Drosophila melanogaster: one gene and its partners. Changing the gene in region 2 together with the main gene of any one other region gives a genetic interaction. Each region holds a gene or a part of one and is shown on either strand. Other genes may lie near its edges. The genes, in order: Nrg, eve, ftz and Fas2.

Region 1 (4,766 bases), on a different chromosome or scaffold from region 2:
ACGCACAAATTTGTGTACGAGTATATATGCCTGCTGATTCCTACCAGCTCCCCCAACTTTTTGGGGCGTTCCATTTTAATTATAACAAATGCCAGGCAATTGCACGCCCAAAAAAAATATGAAAATATCAACATAAATCTCTCATAAATTGCGCGAGAGTTCGCAGATAGATATCGATGATATCATATTATGTATGTATGTATGTACATTCAGCAGCCAACAGAAGTGACAAAACCAATATAGTGCCTCAAGTGTGAATCAAGAATTGATCGACTCAAAAGTAGATAACACACAAATTACAAAAGCCCCAGGAGAATTGATAAACGAAAAGTTCGCCTCTGGCGTTCAAGAACAATTCAATTACGAGGAAAATCACCCAAGATCATACACATGTATGTAAGTGGCAATATGGAATATATTTGAGGTTTAGGAATCCAAGATATAGGAAAAAGCTCCCAAGTAACCAAGTAAATCCAAGAACATATAAATATATGTAAGAGAGTAATCAGTGATCTGCGTATGATTTATTGTTGACAAATTGAAAATTTATATGCGAAAAATCACCAAATAGCAAATAGGCGAAGCATGACCAAAAAAAAAACAGTAAATAGTAGATGCTTTGTACCTATTCAAATGGCCTCGAGTGTGAGTGTCCATTTCAGTACCTACTCAATTAATGAACTGCTTTAATTATGCTTGACTTTTCCAATTGTTAATGGCATAAATTATAGGGGATGTTTCTCTATCGATAAAGCTTCAATGTTTCGTTTCAAGTTCTTTTCTTATCGCTCTCATTGAAAACGATCCCAGTTACTGGAGGTTAGCCTCATTGAAAGGGGACTTGAATTTATAAATAATAGTAATAGTCTTTCACATGCAACATGGAAATATTCTCCGATCACCTTGGCCTTGATTTTTTCAAAGTCAAGAATGGCCGAAAATTATCATCACACTGTGCTTGAAATAAAAAAAATAGCTGCGATTACATATCAGCAAAGTGACTTTGGATTTGGTTTCGTTTGCTTAAACATTTATTCTTGAATTAACTTTTGAAATTTGCACTTAAATTTTTTTTTTTTTTTTTTTTTGCTGTTGTGGTCGCCGGTTGATAAAACTTGTTATCAAAAACTCGTACAATTTTAGCAAATATTTTTTATTTAAATACTTTTAATATGTTGTAAGCATGTGAAGTAATATCTTCATCACTTATTGTATCTTGTATCTTTAGCCGGACATCCCCACACCAAAAGGCCAACAAGGGCATTTATTAACTAGCTAATTTTTAATGCTGCTTCAGTTGACGCAGTTTCAGTTTCTGTTATTTCTTTATTTATTTATTATTATTTTTCTTGATACGTTTTTGGGTCGATTCGGGGCGGAGGCATTGCTGTCGACGGCGTTGCTGGGGCGGAACGAACTGCCATATACATATGCATATATGTACATACATATATATAAACCTATTCACAACGATGACGTCGTCGCGATGACCGCATGGTCAAAAGCAAAAACCACAAAAAATAGCGGAGAGAAGTACAAAATGTATATATTTACCTAACTAAACTCAATTCAGTTTGCAATTGAGAATCATTGAAAAAAATTGAAAATCAGTTGTTTCAGATATTGCTAAATTTAAAGAATTTTAAAGTAAATGAATTAAATGGCTTAGACGAAAATAAAACTGAAAACGCTAAAAGATTGTTTGTTTTTTGTATCTTCTAAATTGTAAATGGAAAACCCGTTATCTCTGTACTTGAGGTATGAAATCGAAAGAATTTAGAGAGAAATCGCTAGGAACGTGGAAAGTACATGTGAAAATGCGAGAAGAGCGCCAAAGTGGCGACGAACGAGGGAGAGGGCAAAAAACGTAAAAAGAGCTCAAAAAGTGATCTCTTGAAGCTGCCCCACCTTACACACACACACACACACACACACCAAAACAAGAACACCGACACACGCACACACACATGCCGTAATTCGCGCTCATTGTCTGCGCTCTTCTTCTTCGTCACCATCTTCGCTAGCTGCTAGAAAACCTGTTTTAGAGCCACCAATAAAAATGAAAAGAAAAAAACAGTGTGTGTGGAGTTAAGATTACGCCCTTGGACGAAAACTTGGTTCAAATCCATAATGCTTACCTTTAAGTCATAGAAGCCAGCAGCAGCAACAACAACTAGATGACGGGATTCTGCCAAAAAGCGCTCAAGAATCCAAAACTCAAAACTCAGGTAAGAGAGAGAGAGGAAGGCGGGAGAGGGCGACGCGCCAAAGCGTGAGAGACGGAGCGAGTGAGAAGGAGCCACTCAATAACTCGCTTACGAAGTTTTGGCTTCGTGGTAAATACATATGTACATACAAAAACAACTAGAATACAACAAAAAAATAGGAAAAATAAAAAAAACACAGAGCTTTAAATGTTGAGGTTTTGAGCGCTCTTGTACAGTTAATGGCGCCCATTGTTGCTGTTGTTGTTGCCTTTGCGTGGCTTTTGGCGTCCTCCGATTTGCTCTCCTTCTCCTTTTTTGTTGTCATCGTGTGCTTCGTACAATATTGCATTGCCATTCATTTTTAATCAATTGCATTAATGAAAACCATCAACTATTTAACTTTTTGGGTGCGGCACAGTGTGCAAAGTAAAAAAACAACAAAAAATGAAGGTGGAAGTAACGCAAGGAGACAAACAATTTTGTTTTGGGTTTTTTTTTCTTCCTTTCGTTTGGCAACCAATTTTTCTTATTTTTTTAAAACAATTCCCAGACAAGCACACCCGCACACTCACACACACGAACGCACACTAAAAAAAAAAAGCGAAGGCAGAGCTAAAACCAATTTATATATTGGCGGAGTAAATAAGACAATTTTCTACGCGGCGTCAGTTCGTTTTTTTTCCTCTTTTTTTTACTATTTTATTTTCAATTCCCGGCGCTCACTAACACTAACACCGACGCATATACACACACACTGGGACAGTTATGTTATACACGCGGAATTTTTAGGAAAAAATAAATAAAGTTAGTGCTTAAACACCCAAATAACGATATATATTCGCTCGGCTGCGAATATGTATCGCGGTGTTTTCGGCGTAGTTTTCAGTAAATACGATTTGGCGGACATACACAACCAGCAGCGCGGATATTTTCTTTTCGAATGCGGAGAGGAACTGCCAGCCTCGCGAACGGTAACAATCGGACGCACGGAATGCGGGGTGGCATCACCGACAAACTGGTTTACGGTTATCGATATTTATCTAAGATATACCAACTATCGATTGATTACCAGGGATGCGATATACTTTTAAATAACCTACGCTCTTATCGATATTTGTAACTCTTTAGAGACTCTTATCGATAGTGTGTTCAATGCTACCCATAACATGAATGATATATCGATTGATGAACTGGGCGCCAAAATATTCAAATTCAAATGGTTTTACGTTTTAATTACAATTCTGAGCAACGCTAAACAGAAACATAATTAATTATAAAGATATTGAAACTATTTGGATTTCTTTCGTTTATTCCAACATATTTATTTAATTGGTATTATTGTTTCAAGTATTACACAATATTGATGCCTTTTCTCTTACGTTTTCAATTAATTTATTATTATTATTATTATTATTGTTATAACTAAATATCGATCACATTTCCTTTCAGAACGTCTCTCATTCTCATCATTTTAATCCCTGTTCACTTTTTGATGCGGAGCAGAACGCACAAACTCCTGCATACACACTTCCTTTCCATCGTCCTAACTAATTTGCAATCATATATATCGCAATTCGCGGTTTAATTATTGCTTCTCCTATTTCTTTTTATCGCTCGCGCTCTGCGGGGGGGAAATGGAAAGGGGGATGGAAGGGGACAATGAGAAAAGTAATATTAAAAAAAAAAACAAAATCGAAAGCGAGACTTGCAAAAATCAAATCTGCGCTAATACTACATAATTGGTTAAGTGTAAATTAAGGATTTAAGTAGGCTCTATTTACGTCTACGTTTTGCAATTATTATTTGGCTGTTTAAGGTAATCAAGAGCGAAAGAATCAAGAACCAAAGTGGGAGAAAACAATTTGCGTGGCGTAAATGTTCTTTTAGTAATTCTTCGTCGTCTTTTTCTCCCTATACAATGTATATACTTTTCTTTAAATGTGTATAATATTGTCCTAAAAGCCTTAAAAAATATGACGCAGCGGCCTGCAATTCTACATATGCCTATATATAGCCTGTATATATACCATAATCGCACATAATTTCTCGGTAGAGCAAAAGGAACACAAGCAAAAGCCATGTGAAGAAGGACACAATGTAAAATGATATCATATCTCTTAATATCTCTCGCCTCGAGCATTCGACATGCATCATTAAAAGTTAGTTCGTTTTATAGCGGTTTCCGTTTCCGTTTCCGTTTGGTGTTGGGAGGTTTTTTTTTTTTGTCTTGGATTTAAGATTTTTGGGTGGCTGGAGGAGGCTGGCTATACGTACAATTTCTATGTTTTCTGTATATTTGTTTTAGGTACATAACAGTTCTTTATATTGTATGGTGTGTGTGTATGTGTGGCTGCCTTGTTTATCGTTCTACGTTACTCCGTACTCCCTATTTCGTTAGCTACATTAGTTAGGTGCGTTTAGTGTCTCCATTCCGGATCCGTACTGCATGCCCACCGACATGGTGAAGAGCCACGCCACCGCCAGCAGACTGCTGCCGAGCAGATCGCCCAAGGCCGTCAGGTAGGGTATGGCCGAGTTATCCGGATCGATCTTCCACTT
Region 2 (4,037 bases):
GTGAGGTGACAATTAATTAGCCGAGCCCAATGCAATCCGAGGACACCGAAATTGATTCCATTGGCAATGCAACCTGACGCGTGGCAGGGAGTGGGCCCAACTCCTCGCCAAGGTCGCCGCCCAGCGGGGTGGCTCTGCATTTGCAATGGGCCCTCCCGCTTGGATCCGTTCGGATCGCATTAATAAGCCATTGGCTTGTGCCAATCCCCCGTGGATGTTGTTCCCTTCCCCGCCGGTGCCGCATCGGGAACCCTTACTCCTGATTGTGGGTGGCCACTCCGAAGGACACTCGGCACGCTCTGCGGCTCTGCCGCTCTGCCGCTCTTCCGTTCGATTTGCCACAGTTTCCCTGGGAAGGTCAGCAGTCAGCAGCGCAGCTGTCCCGCCAGGTTTCTCCACAGCTAATCCAGAGAGCCAGGTCCATAAAAGCGATTCAGCTCAGGTATATGAATATATGTTGATATATATGTAGATAATACCAGGTACCAGGTAGTTCAAATAAACAGTGTGTGTCGTATAATTTTCAATGTTATTTTCGCATTTATTTCTTAATTTGATTTTGCGCCTTAATTATGACTACAATTAGCTACTCTACAATCTGTACAATCTTCGGGAATAAATAGATGAGGCTGACTAAGACTAGTTTGTACAATCTTTTGGGGGAGCATGGGGGGGGGGGAGAGAGTGTGTGTGGATCGCGGGCTTACGCCTCAGTCTTGTAGGGCTTGAAGAGCTTCGGCTTGGGCTCCGCAATCACAGTTGTCGTCGGCGGCGGCGACATGTCGGAGGCAGGCCGCTTGGCACTGGGCATCAGGAGGCCTGGAGCGGGCAGCGGGCTGGTGGTGGTCAGTGGAGCGGGAGCAGGAACTGATGGAGCGGATTGAGCCACTGGACTGCGGTCGAACACCTTGGCGTGATCGGATCCCACTGGCGAGAGCGACAGCGTGGAGGAGTGCGGCGATGACGACGACTGCAGATCCAGCGGCGGCGTCTGGGTCTTGGGCACACCCACACCCAGTCCGGTATAGCAGGTGGCGGAGGGCAGAGCGCCCAAAAGGCCGGCGGCACCGGCGGAGTACGACGATCCCGTTGCGCTGGATCCCATCATGTGCGGATGATGCATATGAGGACCAGCGGGATGTGGCGGCGCCGGGCGGGCGGGGATGTGGTAGGGCGTGTAGCGGTACTGTCCGTAGGGCGATGGATGGCCGGCATGTCCCGAGTGTCCGGGCATCTGCATTGTGGGCATCTGGGGCATGCCCATCGGGGGCATTCCGGTGGCCATCATCGGATTGGTGGCCACGGCAGCGGCGGCGGCAGCAGCGGCGGCAGCAGCGGGGGCGTAGGGCGGATAGGGCATGCCCACGCTGTTGGCGGCGGCCTGGAGGATGGAGGCGGCGAAGGCGGGATCGGAGTAGACGGCTGCGTAGGGCCAGGCGACGGCGATCCTCTGACGCTTGTCCTTCATGCGGCGGTTCTGGAACCACACCTTGATCGTGCTCTCCGGGAGGTTCAGCTGGGCGGCCAGTTCGCAGCGACGGGGACGGGACACGTAGTTCTCCTTGTAGAACTCCTTCTCCAAGCGACCCAGCTGGTCACGGGTGAAGGCGGTGCGATAGCGGCGTACCGACGGGTCGGCGGGAATCTCCGAGCCGCGGCTGCCGTTCAAGGAGTTATCCGGACTGGATAGGCATTCTGTTTTGGACAGAGGAAAGATTGGGTGTAAGTAACTCGTCACGTTTGCTCGGCTTTATCTTTAAACTTACCATTTGGCGAGGGAGGCGGTGTCTGGGGCTTGCCGTACTGGGTGGCCAAGAGGTCCACAACCAGGGGCTTCTGGTCCACGGGACTGGCGTCGTGATGGGCATGGTGGCTCTCCATGTTGTAGGTTCGGTATCCGTGCATGTTTGGTATGCGTCTTGTGATTCAAAGTTGGCTTATTCAGAGGATATTAACGAAGGCAGTTAGTTGTTGACTGTGCGGCGGTCACAGCTCGAGTGTGCTGCTCTCAGCCACCCCGCGCCCTTTTATACCGCTGCGCTCTGCAGGCAAATGGCCGCCGTCGCTGGGAGCGGCCAATCGCAGCGACCCAGGCAGGTGCGAGCGGGACAGCCTGAGCGGAACGGTGCTAATCGTGCGGTGCTGAGAGTGGATGCGCTGCTGTGCTCTCGGTGCTGAGCGGCGATAACGAGGCGGGACAAAGCGGAGGAGCAGGACCCGGAGCAGCGGGATGGAGCCGCGTTCTCTGCTCGGCAGGACCATGAGGAGGTCCTGGCCATGCTGGCCATGGCACTCCCGAGCTGGAGAGAGAGAGAGTTCCGATTTGGTATTCATAGCGGATGAGCGAATCTTTTGTCTCGCCCGCCCGCAGGCGGTTGCTCCGCAGGAGCGAGCGGGACGGGCGGGCCCCCTTAATAATGGGATTTTATCGGCTTCATCAAGAATGATATGGCATTATGCCGCTCAGTCGGGTCGGGTGGTGTGTGTTTGCCGGCAGAGAGTGTGTGTATCCCACTATATATTTGTATGTATGTATTATCGATCGCCTGCCAGCGAATTATTTGCGCTTTTATGAAGTCTTAATATTATGCCGCACGTTTAACAGCCCCACACTGCCATGGCTGCCATGACTTTCGGGTTTTGGGGGCTTCATCCACCCCGTTGGAGCGGCGGCAGGGGTGTCCAGCCATAACCATTTGGGAACTGCTGTAGCGAGATAATGGCCGCCCCTGCCCGCAGAACATGGAAAATGGAAAATGGGAACCCAGTTGCCGGGACTTAATTTGAAAAGTTTTCGGTTTCGTTGGGCAAAACATTTATTATGATGATATAATCATTCCCAGCGTACCAACTGTACCAGGACCGGGATAGTGCCTCCTCTTTTGGGCCAGCAAACCGGCCACTTGCCACTTGCGCAAGTTAGCTTGGAGGTTTGGCCAAAAAAATCGTGGGGTCCACCCACAACTACCTGCTGCCCGGCTCAAAACGGGTTAAGCTCGCGGATCAGGGCTAAGTCGGCGCAAAAAAATAACCCAGTTCGCTAGTCCGTTAATTGCGTTGCCTGGACCTGCGCGCCCCTAATCCCTTCGACATCATTATTATGTGTTTTTATGACTTTCTAATGAAAAGGACAAGGGATTGGGATTGGGATTGGGATCGGGCTAGGGATCGGGATTGGATTCCAAGTCAAGCCCTTGGCTAATCCCAGCAAACAAACAAACAAACGCCCGCAGAAGATGGCGATGGCTAGATCGGCGGAATGCCCTGACTTCGCAACCCGGTCTCGTTGTGCGATTATAGTCCAGGGTCCCTCGATTCCGTCTAAATGAAAGTATGGCACAGCGTGTTACCAAACTGCGACGATTGTTCAAGATGCTGCAATAAAGTCTAACTCGAAAGTGAAACGAGGACGAAAGCGAAACGCTGCAACTGCAATTGACTAATAATCTCGCTGATGGCAAACGGATTAACACGGCACACACAGCGAGAAACCAGGCCAGCTTTTCGATCTGTCCCAGTTACGGTTCGGGTTCCATTGTTATGCAGTACCGGGTAACCAGGAAGGATACCTCGCTCCTGCCAGTTACTTCAAATTATTGGGTTATATTGCGCCCGCAATTTGCATTGGCATTAACTCGCCCGGCATAGCCGCATCGCAACAACTCTACCTACTGGCCGACCTGGAAAAGGCCCACATGCAAGCCTTCTTGCCCCGGGAAAGGTTCAATTCTCGAGGTTCGGGGTTCAGGGCTAACAGCTCACAGCTCATAGCTCATAGCTCAAACCCTACCCACAAGCAACAACCTTGCCTATTGTCCACCTCCGCCGGCCTTTGTCTTTGACTCCGTCCGGAGAATGGACGCGAAACGACCGCTTGGGTTAAGTCGTCAAGCGAGGCTCTGCGGCAGCGACAGTAAATACCCTTTATGGCGATCGGGTGGGTTGGATTGGATTGGGATGGGTTGGATTGGCTTGGTTAGGCGAAAGTGTCCGCCGGCGGAAGTACCTTCCTCGTTTCAATACTCAATCCTCTATCT
Region 3 (4,474 bases), on a different chromosome or scaffold from region 2:
TGAAGCGACAAAATGCAGCTGCTCGAATTTGTACGATTCGTGCTCAACATTAAATCGTTTGCGTTTCGTATAAGTTCGAAAGTAATGCTTCAACCATGTGCAATTCATCAGAAAGTAAACCAAGAGATCTCTTAAGCTTCTCAACGAACAATTAAATATTAGGCTTATACTTAAATAATTTAAACTCCTTAACTCCTAAACTCCATTTTTATCATATATATGTATTATATGCATATATAAGGTATGAAAATAGGCTGAAGGTAAACTTTGCCTTGTGATATGTTTTCGGTGAAAGTAGTTAGACAAATACCATACGTTGATCCAAACTATTTTAAGAATTTATTGAGTAGTTATCATTGAAAGGCATTTAATTTTATTTCAACACATATACATATGAAATGTATTCCACATACGCGGCCCACGGCCTATAAATTTAAAATTTTAAAGCAGTCAAATTGCAGCATGCCCAAGACTCTTCTTCACAAATTGCCAAATGAATGTTCAACTTGATTTGTTTAAATTCGATCGATTTACTTTACTCGTATATTTAAATAAATAGAATTCTATGATAGGAATATCTTAACTACTATATGTACAAAAACATGTGTGTCAGTCTCCAAGTCTCTTGGCCATTATCACTCCCAGCTGAGTGTTTTGGGCTTGTGTTTGGCCGCAGCTAATCGATCGCTGAGAACCCATCATGGCCAGCCACTGGGTTCCGCGCGCAGCAAGGCTCCTTTTCTGTTTGCGCTGCCTCTTTTGCCTCTGCCTTCTGCACTTGCGCACTCGTCCTTGTGCCCAAAATGTCCTGGGCACCGTAGGGAGTGCGCCCTCTACTGTGCAACTCATCGCGTCGCAGCTTCGTTCTCGGCTGTGTCATTTGCGTGTCACCTACAAATGGTCGAGAGAAGTGCGCTTCGGTTTCGTGGCGGTACGGCTTTCGGTTCCGCTCTGGGGAAGAGAGTAACTGAGCATCGCCGGACCTCAAGACAGATGGTAGAGGTCCTGTGGATGTTGCTGGTAGCTGCACTGATGTTGGTACTGCTGCGGGTAGGCATCGTACTGCTGGTGGGTCTGCTGCTGAGGGTAATCATTGAGCAGGCCATAACCATGACTGTGACTGTGGCTGTAAGCGGGGTAGGCGGCGGTGGTTTGGTGGTGGTGGTACATGGGCACTGGCACCGATGGTGCCCCGGTGGTGGCGGTGCTTGTGGCCTCCAGTGGCGGCAGCATCGCGGTGTAGCCGGCACCACAGTGCTCCGGGGAGCTGTCCAGCGTGCGATCCTTCTTCGACTTCATGCGTCGGTTTTGGAACCAGATCTTGATCTGCCTTTCGCTCAGGCTCAGGGCATTGGCGATATCGATGCGACGACGCCGGGTGATGTATCTATTGAAGTGGAACTCCTTCTCGAGCTCCAGGGTCTGGTAGCGGGTGTACGTCTGACGGGTGCGTTTCGAGTCTTTGCAATCTGTAAGCATAAGCAAAGAAAAAATGGGTTAGCTAATGAGTTTTATAACTGCGTATTGTTTGAAAATATCAAAAATGTATACAAAAACATATTTTCAATATTTTCAAAGTGTATTTTTAGGGGTTGTTAATCGTGTGTGATGCCTACCTGATGCCAAAGTCTCCTCGATGTGCGACCAATTGAAATCGCCGGCTCCATTCGGGGCTGTCACAATTCGATGATTGATCTCCTGGCTGACAGCTGACGAGGATTTCTCCCCCGGCGATTGGGGTGGCGTGCTGATGCCTTCGAGGGGCGGCAGAGAGGTGGGCGTGGTTGGCGGAGGGGTGGCAAAGTCGCCATTCTTCAGCTTCTGCGTCTGCGACTGGGGCGAGTAGACGTCCAAGTAGTCGACATCCTCGGAGGCGCTGGGCGTGGGCACAGTCACGTACTCTTGGTCGTAGCTGGGAGCGGGGCTGGCGGTGACCTTGGTGCTTACGGCGGGAGCCTTCTTCACCTGCTCGACGGTTGTGTAGAAATAGTCGGGGGTGTACTTCAGCTTCTTCACGGGATTGGTGAGCAGAGCCCTCAGTGTGCTGGGTCGCTCCTCCACGGCGGCGATGATGGAAGCAGCATCATCTTCGGCCTTGCGCTTGGTGGCCTTGGGCGGCGGGGTGGTGGGTTGCACGGGCGGTACAGTCTGGGTGGTCACCTGCTCCTGATTGTTGTAGTAGTAGCAGCTCTCCGAGTAACTCTCCTGGGGATAGTAGCCCTGATAATTGGAGGTGTTCTGATAGTAGGCATTGCTGCCTGAATTATCGTAGTAGGTGGGCGGCAGGCTGTGGGGGTGATACATGTTGTACATGTTCATGTTGTCGGCGTAGCTGTAGTGGCTCTGGCTGTTTGTGGTGGCCATATCGGATGTGTATTGCTAGATTTCTTCTCTAACTCTGCGATGTGCACGCAACGCTGGTGAGTTTGCGAATGAGCTGGTCCTGCGGCAGATCCTGCATATATAGCAAAATCAGAGAGCCCTCGGCACACGCTCGCCGTTATAGCGCATAAATATCCCTGCGCATGACACTTTGCCGCCTGCTGTTCGCAGCCACCCCTCCGGCGAAATGTCCTTGCAGGCACGGAGAGGGGAAGTTATCCGAGGTCCTGGCAACTTTATCCGTACGGTGCCTACCTGCTGCGCGGCTTATTACCTACCCATCGCGCCCATTATCATCGCGATTTATCCGCCCGCGCGCTTCTCCTACTCGGCGACCTTGAGACGGTGCTGCAGTAATTACGGCCATGAGGTGCCTACCTATGAGGTGCGCAGAGCGAGAGGGCGCGACTCTCAGCCGATCTCCCTCTAATTGCAATAATCATAAAGACATAAAAACTGTAAACTGTTGCTGAAAACGTTCCTTCGGGGCAGAGGCTTTTTCCCCGGCCCGTTTATGGTTCCCTAAAAATTTCTCTGGATTTTTGCCAGCGCGCAAAACACCGAAGACTGGCTGCCAGTTGTTCCCGGAACCCGATGCCCTTTCCCTCCGAATTTATTTCGTGGCACTGGGCGGCCAAAGGATAACATTACGTCCGATCCCTGGGATCAGGAATACGCGTGGCCGAGGGTCGCGTGTTTGCGCTTTTTGTTTGCCCTCGTGGCCAAGCAAGTGCGCAACTCCCGATTCCCAAACTCACTCCTGTGCCCGGTATTTGCCTAAAAACCAACAAACGCACTTCCAAAATGACTAGTAAACAGTAAAAACTTTATGCAAACATCCTTTGCCTAAATTTTAAAAATATGATATAAATTATATGCCCGCTGATTTTTCAAATGAATACTAGTTTTATTTTATTTTTTACGTTATACTTTTAAAAATGATTCTATAACAGCAGAAAACCAGCAATATTTTAATAGCATAATATTGTTGAGAATATAAAGCTTTTACGCTTTTTTTCGGTAACTCTGTGATATAACCCTCAAGTTTTTATAAATTTTAAGTAGGTTGTCTATGGATGCTGTAATTTTTAATGGCCAAATGGTAATGTATCCTTTGTGAGTGGTAATCTTGAGTTAAATTTGTGGCACAAAACTTGCACAGCGTAGGATCTTCATGTTTAATTATAACATTATAGCTCTTATACTTATACTTATATGGATCAAGAATATATATACTTTGTAGCACTGCAATTGCTGCCTTCTACCTGTTACATTCATTTCAGTAAGGGGTAAGAATGCCACAGGCTTCACGATTTACTATTTCTCATTCTTTTAGAAACTGAAGGTTATTTCTGGTAATCTAAAAATCTACTTCCATCTTAGGTTCGCGTATAACCTGAAATCAGCTCAGCTAAATTGACTGGTAAAAAACAATCATCTCTCAGCCACTTTTGTGTTTACATGACTTTCTGATCGGCTTACGCGGCCTGGATAAATTTTATTAGCCACCCCCGTTGAACACCCCTAACATATCGATACTCCTGACATATGTGTGCATGTGCGAATTCTACCCTTACCCCATCCGCATACTCTGGCAGATTCCATTGTTCCACAAAATTTATGGCGTTTTTCAGTTTGACAGAAGAGACTGCAGTTCGCATCTCTCCGATGTCCTGTGATTGCTATATTGCCAGTGAATGTGAGCCTCCTTTCTGGTTTTGCAGTAAACTTAACAATAAGGGTGTAGAGTAGGATATAAAACCATCCGATAACTTATGTTTATATCTATCAATCAAAGAAAGGAAAAACAGCTCCCCAAAAATAAAATTCTTTCGATACCGAATCATTTACTAAAATAATTTCATCTCATTTTATTTAAATATTGTTAGGATCCTTTTTTAACGCAATAAATAAGGGCGAGGGCTACTACTTTTGACTAGGTCTTTGAATTTAGATATATACTTATTGAATTATACCTTAAAAAGATTAATTAGTTGAATTATTTTACATGAACATGGCCTAAGATTTTAAACTAACTTGTCTAGCTGTTTATGAATGGTTTGTTTTTGTAAATATTTAATGATGGGTTTAC
Region 4 (4,746 bases), on a different chromosome or scaffold from region 2:
CGGCCATAAATTTTCGACTTTAGCACAATTCGTGCGTTTGGGTTCTATTTCTAATTATAATACCAAATTGAAAAGCACATATTGGGAATTCGGGGAGCGTTTTTATACCCGTACTCACCTATTAAAGAGCAGCTGCAGAGGAGCAGCGCCAAAAAGACGCCGACTGAATTTGGCGGCAATTCACCCATTTTTATCGCTGTTTTTGCAGTTGTAGTAGTTTTCTAGTTTTCCCCGCTCGCAAATAGCTCTCGTTTTAACTTCTTTGGTTTGTTTACGGTTGCACACGAAAAAAATGTTTAAAAAATTTCAGTTTGTTTTCGCTGCTCGTGATTGCACAAATTATTCTATTCTGATTAACACTTTGCGTTCGGTGTCTTTTGTTTTTTTTTCTTTTGTCTGTTTCGGTGTGTGAATCTGAAAGTATATTGATAATGAAAGAAAGATGAATTAGCTAAGCTTTTAATAGTAATATAGATAGGGTTTTTTTTTAGTTTAAATTCATGGTAACTGGCTTTTGTGGTTAGTCAGATTGGGCCTTAGAAGTTCATCTGCATTTGATATTTGTCATAACTTTAGCATTTTAGCTTCAAATGGCAAATGTTGGCATTTATGGGCGAGGAGAAGAGGAAGAAGGCAGTGCAAGCGAGACAGCGCGAGCCGATGTTGTGTGCGTGTGTGCCTTGTCTCTTTTGCATTCTCTAAAATCGGCGGCGGCAGCGAAGAAGAAAAAAAATGAGAAAGGAAAACGAAGAAAATAAAACTTGCTGCGCCGCCGACTTCGCACATGTTGGCCAGTTTTTGTAACGGAAATTACGGTGCTCTCGGCAGTCGAAACACGTAGTGCAGGGGAAATATGGTAGGAGCAACACAGACACAAGGGGTAAGGGAGGGAAGGGGGGCTTTGGATAAGGTAGGAGAGGATTGCTTAAGCTGAATTTTATCTATAAGTTTGTGTTCTCAGTAGATCGTTATCTTTTGGGTTCGAGAGCGAAATGTATATTTCTTATCGGCACATAAGTTCGTGCGTCTCTCCAATAATTCATGACTCAAGCTTTGTCTCTCTCGCTCTCTTTCGCCTTCTCTCTCTCTCTATGTCTACTGAAGTTGCACCTATGCTGAGTGTCCTTGAATTGCAACAAGTTCTAAAGTACAGTTATCGCTCGCTTTAGAGAATATCGTAAACCAAATAAAAAACGGTTGAGTTATAGAATTGAACGTGACTTCAATGCAATGACTAATAATAAAGGTAGAATAAGTGATCAATAAAAGTTAATTTTCATTTACAGTGACGCCTTGCAAGCAGTGCTCTTTTTTTTTTTTTTTTGAAAACTCATAACAGTCCTAGCAACAAAAAATATTTGCATGCAGGCGAGGGAAAACTGTAGTTACTTCCTCGCGAGCTCGTCTTGCCACTAATCCCGCCCACTTTGCACAGCGGAACTTTCCCACCGCACCCCCTCATTTGGCTTACGGTTATTACAGTTACTGGATAATCGATATTTAGGGCAGGCCTTGACTTTTTTTTTCATAGGAACCGCGCGTATGTGTGTCTGCGGCACGCGAAATATTCTTGAGAATATTTCGCTTTCATCTCGCTTCATTCTTGCTTTTGGCAAATTGAGACATTGTTACAAAATACCCGCGAAGCAGTTTTAAATATTCATAAAGTTTCGAAAACGCTAATTATAATGAGAGACTTGGCCAGAGGGGAAGTTCTGGCAACGGTAGAGTTTTTGTGAATCTGTTCAAGTTGCACAAAGTTTAGAAGTTTTCCACTTGATATTCGTGAATTATTAATGCTGTCAAATGATTTGATTTTGACTTTCGGCGCGACCGACAAATTGTAATTACATCTGCCGTTTTGATTGCCTAGAATTGGACGAACTCAATAGGATTTTGTAGTCTTAATTAAAATATGGCTCGGTTAGGTTTGATAAAACGCAATAAACTAATTTATTAATGCGAAACTAACATCTTGTTCGAAAAACTGCCAAAAGTAAAGCGGCAAAAGTTTTCAAATAAGCACTCTATGAAGTCGATGAAGTTAATTTACCAACTTTGAGTTTATTCCGACTTGTTAACAGTTTAAACAAATATTTTTAATCACATTAAAACTTTTGCAGAAAGCCGCAGCAAACGAAATAAACTTTTTGATATGCGACATAAAGGCAATTTTGACAGACAAAGGAAAAACGAAACCGACTGAAATTGGTCGTGAAATTTGAGAATCTATTCTTTTCTATTTTTTTTTTTTTTTGTTCTGTGGTTAACATTCCAGATTAGTTGTGGAATCAATTTGCCCGGCTTTTCCTAATTCTTAACGTGTTTCTTTTTTGTATGTTTCATATTTCCTATTTGCCAGCTGCAAGCGTGAGTCAATTTCCAGTGCACACTGTTGGTAGTAACAACAATAAAGTTGGCAGCGAAGCGGGCCCAAAAACCTGTTTTCCGTTTTATTTTTCTTGCTTTTCAGGTGATGTTGCTCTTTTTTTTCATATTTGTTGTATGCACTTTTCCAACTCGATTATTGGGTGAGTTTTCAAAGGGTTTTCATGGAGGTTTTCATTGAAATAACTTTTGCACGTGACTCATTGGAATCTTGGGCTAAAACAACAAAACAGCATAGACTCAGCAGAGCGAGAGAGATACATTTGTGTATTTTTTGTCACACGCTAAAAAAAAAGTTTTGAAAAAAAAAATATGTACAAGAATGCCGCCAGTTTATTTTTGGTTTTTGTGGAGCTGTCTCGACATGTTTTTTGAGTTCTTCTCATGCACGGCCAAATAATGGCTGTTATGAGCAGTTATTATTATTATTTATTATTACCAATTTCTCATTGTTTAACTGGCACACTAACACACACGCACACGACGCGCCACGACCGTTAACACATACGGTGAAGAGAGCGCGAGAGAATGCGAGTATGAAGAAGAAGAACCACTTCTGTTGTCTCTATTTGTGTTTTTCTTTCTCTCAGCAAGCAGAGCACTCGACGCGTTGGCCGTCGAAACGTAACTGAAAGCACCGCTAGCGCTGCCGCCGCAAAATACCACAGCTATTGCCGCGCCACAAGATCTGGCAACCCCAAATGTTGCCAGCCGATGCGACGCAGCATGTTGCCAACCGAAAGTAATCAAGCAAGGGAGATGGTAGAAGTTTAAGAAGTAAAGTGCATAGATAATAGCAATTTATAAAACCGAAAATCTGAGCTCTTTTAAAATGAAATTAATTTACATAAATAACGTAATAAGTGCACAGGAATATTAATATCAGTTATTGGCCAAATATGTTTTCAGTGGAGACTAAAAGAGATGGAGAGTGTCTACCGTTAGGCGGCGAAGAATTCAGCTCTTTTCTTCTCGAGTGTCAGCAAGGTCAAACGACAATGGGCGGAGAAACTGGGCGGTGGCACTTAAGCCCCATTTCGTCACTTTTACGAGCGACTGGTGTCAGGTTTTTTGACACGTTTTTGTTGCCCAATCTTTGTGGAGCTTTGTCAACAAACTTTCAGAACGAAGCATTAAAAATGTAACTACTTTATTCGGGGGCACATTTAAAAGAGCTACACGTATGTACATATATTACGCAAAGTGTGCTATCGCGAGGAGATGATGTCTAGCTAAGGTTTTTCCGATTGATATGCAAGATGAAAATCTCACACTTCGATAAGTTTTGTAAGAATATTCGGGAACACTATCTAAACATCCTTCGAAGTTAGCAGCATGTTGCCGAAACCTCTTGCAACATTTCGAAATGAGGAAAACCAAAGTTTAACGTCTTATTTTTCGGCACAGCATTTTACGATCTTGCTGTCGAAGTAACCGACGAATGCTGGGGGGAAAATCGGGCGGGTATGCAAGACGAATTTTCCGGCTGGCAACATTTCGGATATTTCGGAGACGGCCACTTGTTGCCCGCGCAACATCGAGATTCGATTCCAAACAAAAACTTCTTTTATTTTCAATTGCCGCGCTGTCAATTAAACCAGCCTGCGGAAAAATCGTGACGAGGGGGGTGATTTTCCCCGGTTAAGTGGAAACAAAAAAAAAAATCGCAGTTACGTTTGAATGCGCTGTGTGCAATTTACTAAATGAAATTGCGTATAGATGCCAATGCGATGTATTCTGCAGTTATCATTGTTGTTTTGTTTCGTTTGTCGTTTGTGTGACGGAGCAATTTATCACCGTATACAGAGGGGATATATGTACCTACATATATCTATATACCAGCGACACCCCTCCCCCGCCAGAATCACCAATAAGTGATTTATAGGATTGTTATTTTGTCGTTGATGTCGCACTTTCGCTGCGCTTTATTTATTGCTCGGAATCTTCCTCTATCTCCCACACACAAAACAAAAACCCGATACGCCCGATTCGCCCGATTTGGAGTGCGTTAATTTTATTTCACAGCCGGCCGAATTTTCCGAACTTTTCACAGATGAATATTGAATTGATCGGCTGGCTGTGGGAACTATGGTGACAATCGTTCTTCACGCTTAATTTGCTAATGCGTTCGACCTTTGACCCATGATGTGCCAACGATGTGAACATTTTGGCTATCAACAAATAGGATTTAACACGATTGCATTTAAATGTATTGGCGATTTAAAAAGCAAGAATGTAATATAAAGAAATTAGAACATAAATATAAATAAATAAGTAATTATTTTAAGAATCTTTGGTCTTGGCACCAGTAATCTGATGTAAAAACAAAGGAAATATGCCCATTTCCCGCCGAGAACT

Evidence for each region.
Region 1: of eve (region 2) and Nrg, changing one enhances a phenotype caused by changing the other (phenotypic enhancement), as found in Drosophila melanogaster (one study listed by BioGRID).
Region 3: of eve (region 2) and ftz, changing one suppresses a phenotype caused by changing the other (phenotypic suppression), as found in Drosophila melanogaster (one study listed by BioGRID).
Region 4: of eve (region 2) and Fas2, changing one enhances a phenotype caused by changing the other (phenotypic enhancement), as found in Drosophila melanogaster (one study listed by BioGRID).

What each region holds. Positions count from the first base shown.
Region 1 is NC_004354.4:8,515,771-8,520,536, reverse strand, and holds the start of Nrg (neuroglian), read right to left. Parts: upstream 3,050-4,766; 5' UTR 3,028-3,049; exon of another isoform or gene 2,139-3,027; intron 1-2,138. Other genes in the region: CG33181 (uncharacterized protein), read right to left, coding at 4,611-4,766. UniProt on the Drosophila melanogaster protein: Essential for septate junctions. Septate junctions, which are the equivalent of vertebrate tight junctions, are characterized by regular arrays of transverse structures that span the intermembrane space and form a physical barrier to diffusion.
Region 2 is NT_033778.4:9,977,283-9,981,319, reverse strand, and holds eve (even skipped), read right to left. Parts: upstream 2,002-4,037; 5' UTR 1,906-2,001; coding exon 1,767-1,905; exon of another isoform or gene 1,736-1,766; intron 1,696-1,735; coding exon 704-1,695; 3' UTR 525-703; downstream 1-524. UniProt on the Drosophila melanogaster protein: May play a role in determining neuronal identity. May be directly involved in specifying identity of individual neurons.
Region 3 is NT_033777.3:6,862,284-6,866,757, reverse strand, and holds ftz (fushi tarazu), read right to left. Parts: upstream 2,435-4,474; 5' UTR 2,365-2,434; coding exon 1,617-2,364; intron 1,470-1,616; coding exon 985-1,469; 3' UTR 514-984; downstream 1-513. UniProt on the Drosophila melanogaster protein: May play a role in determining neuronal identity, may be directly involved in specifying identity of individual neurons. Required during embryogenesis for the process of body segmentation.
Region 4 is NC_004354.4:4,203,073-4,207,818, forward strand, and holds the start of Fas2 (fasciclin 2), read right to left. Parts: upstream 3,022-4,746; 5' UTR 2,828-3,021; intron 415-2,827; 5' UTR 189-414; coding exon 119-188; intron 1-118.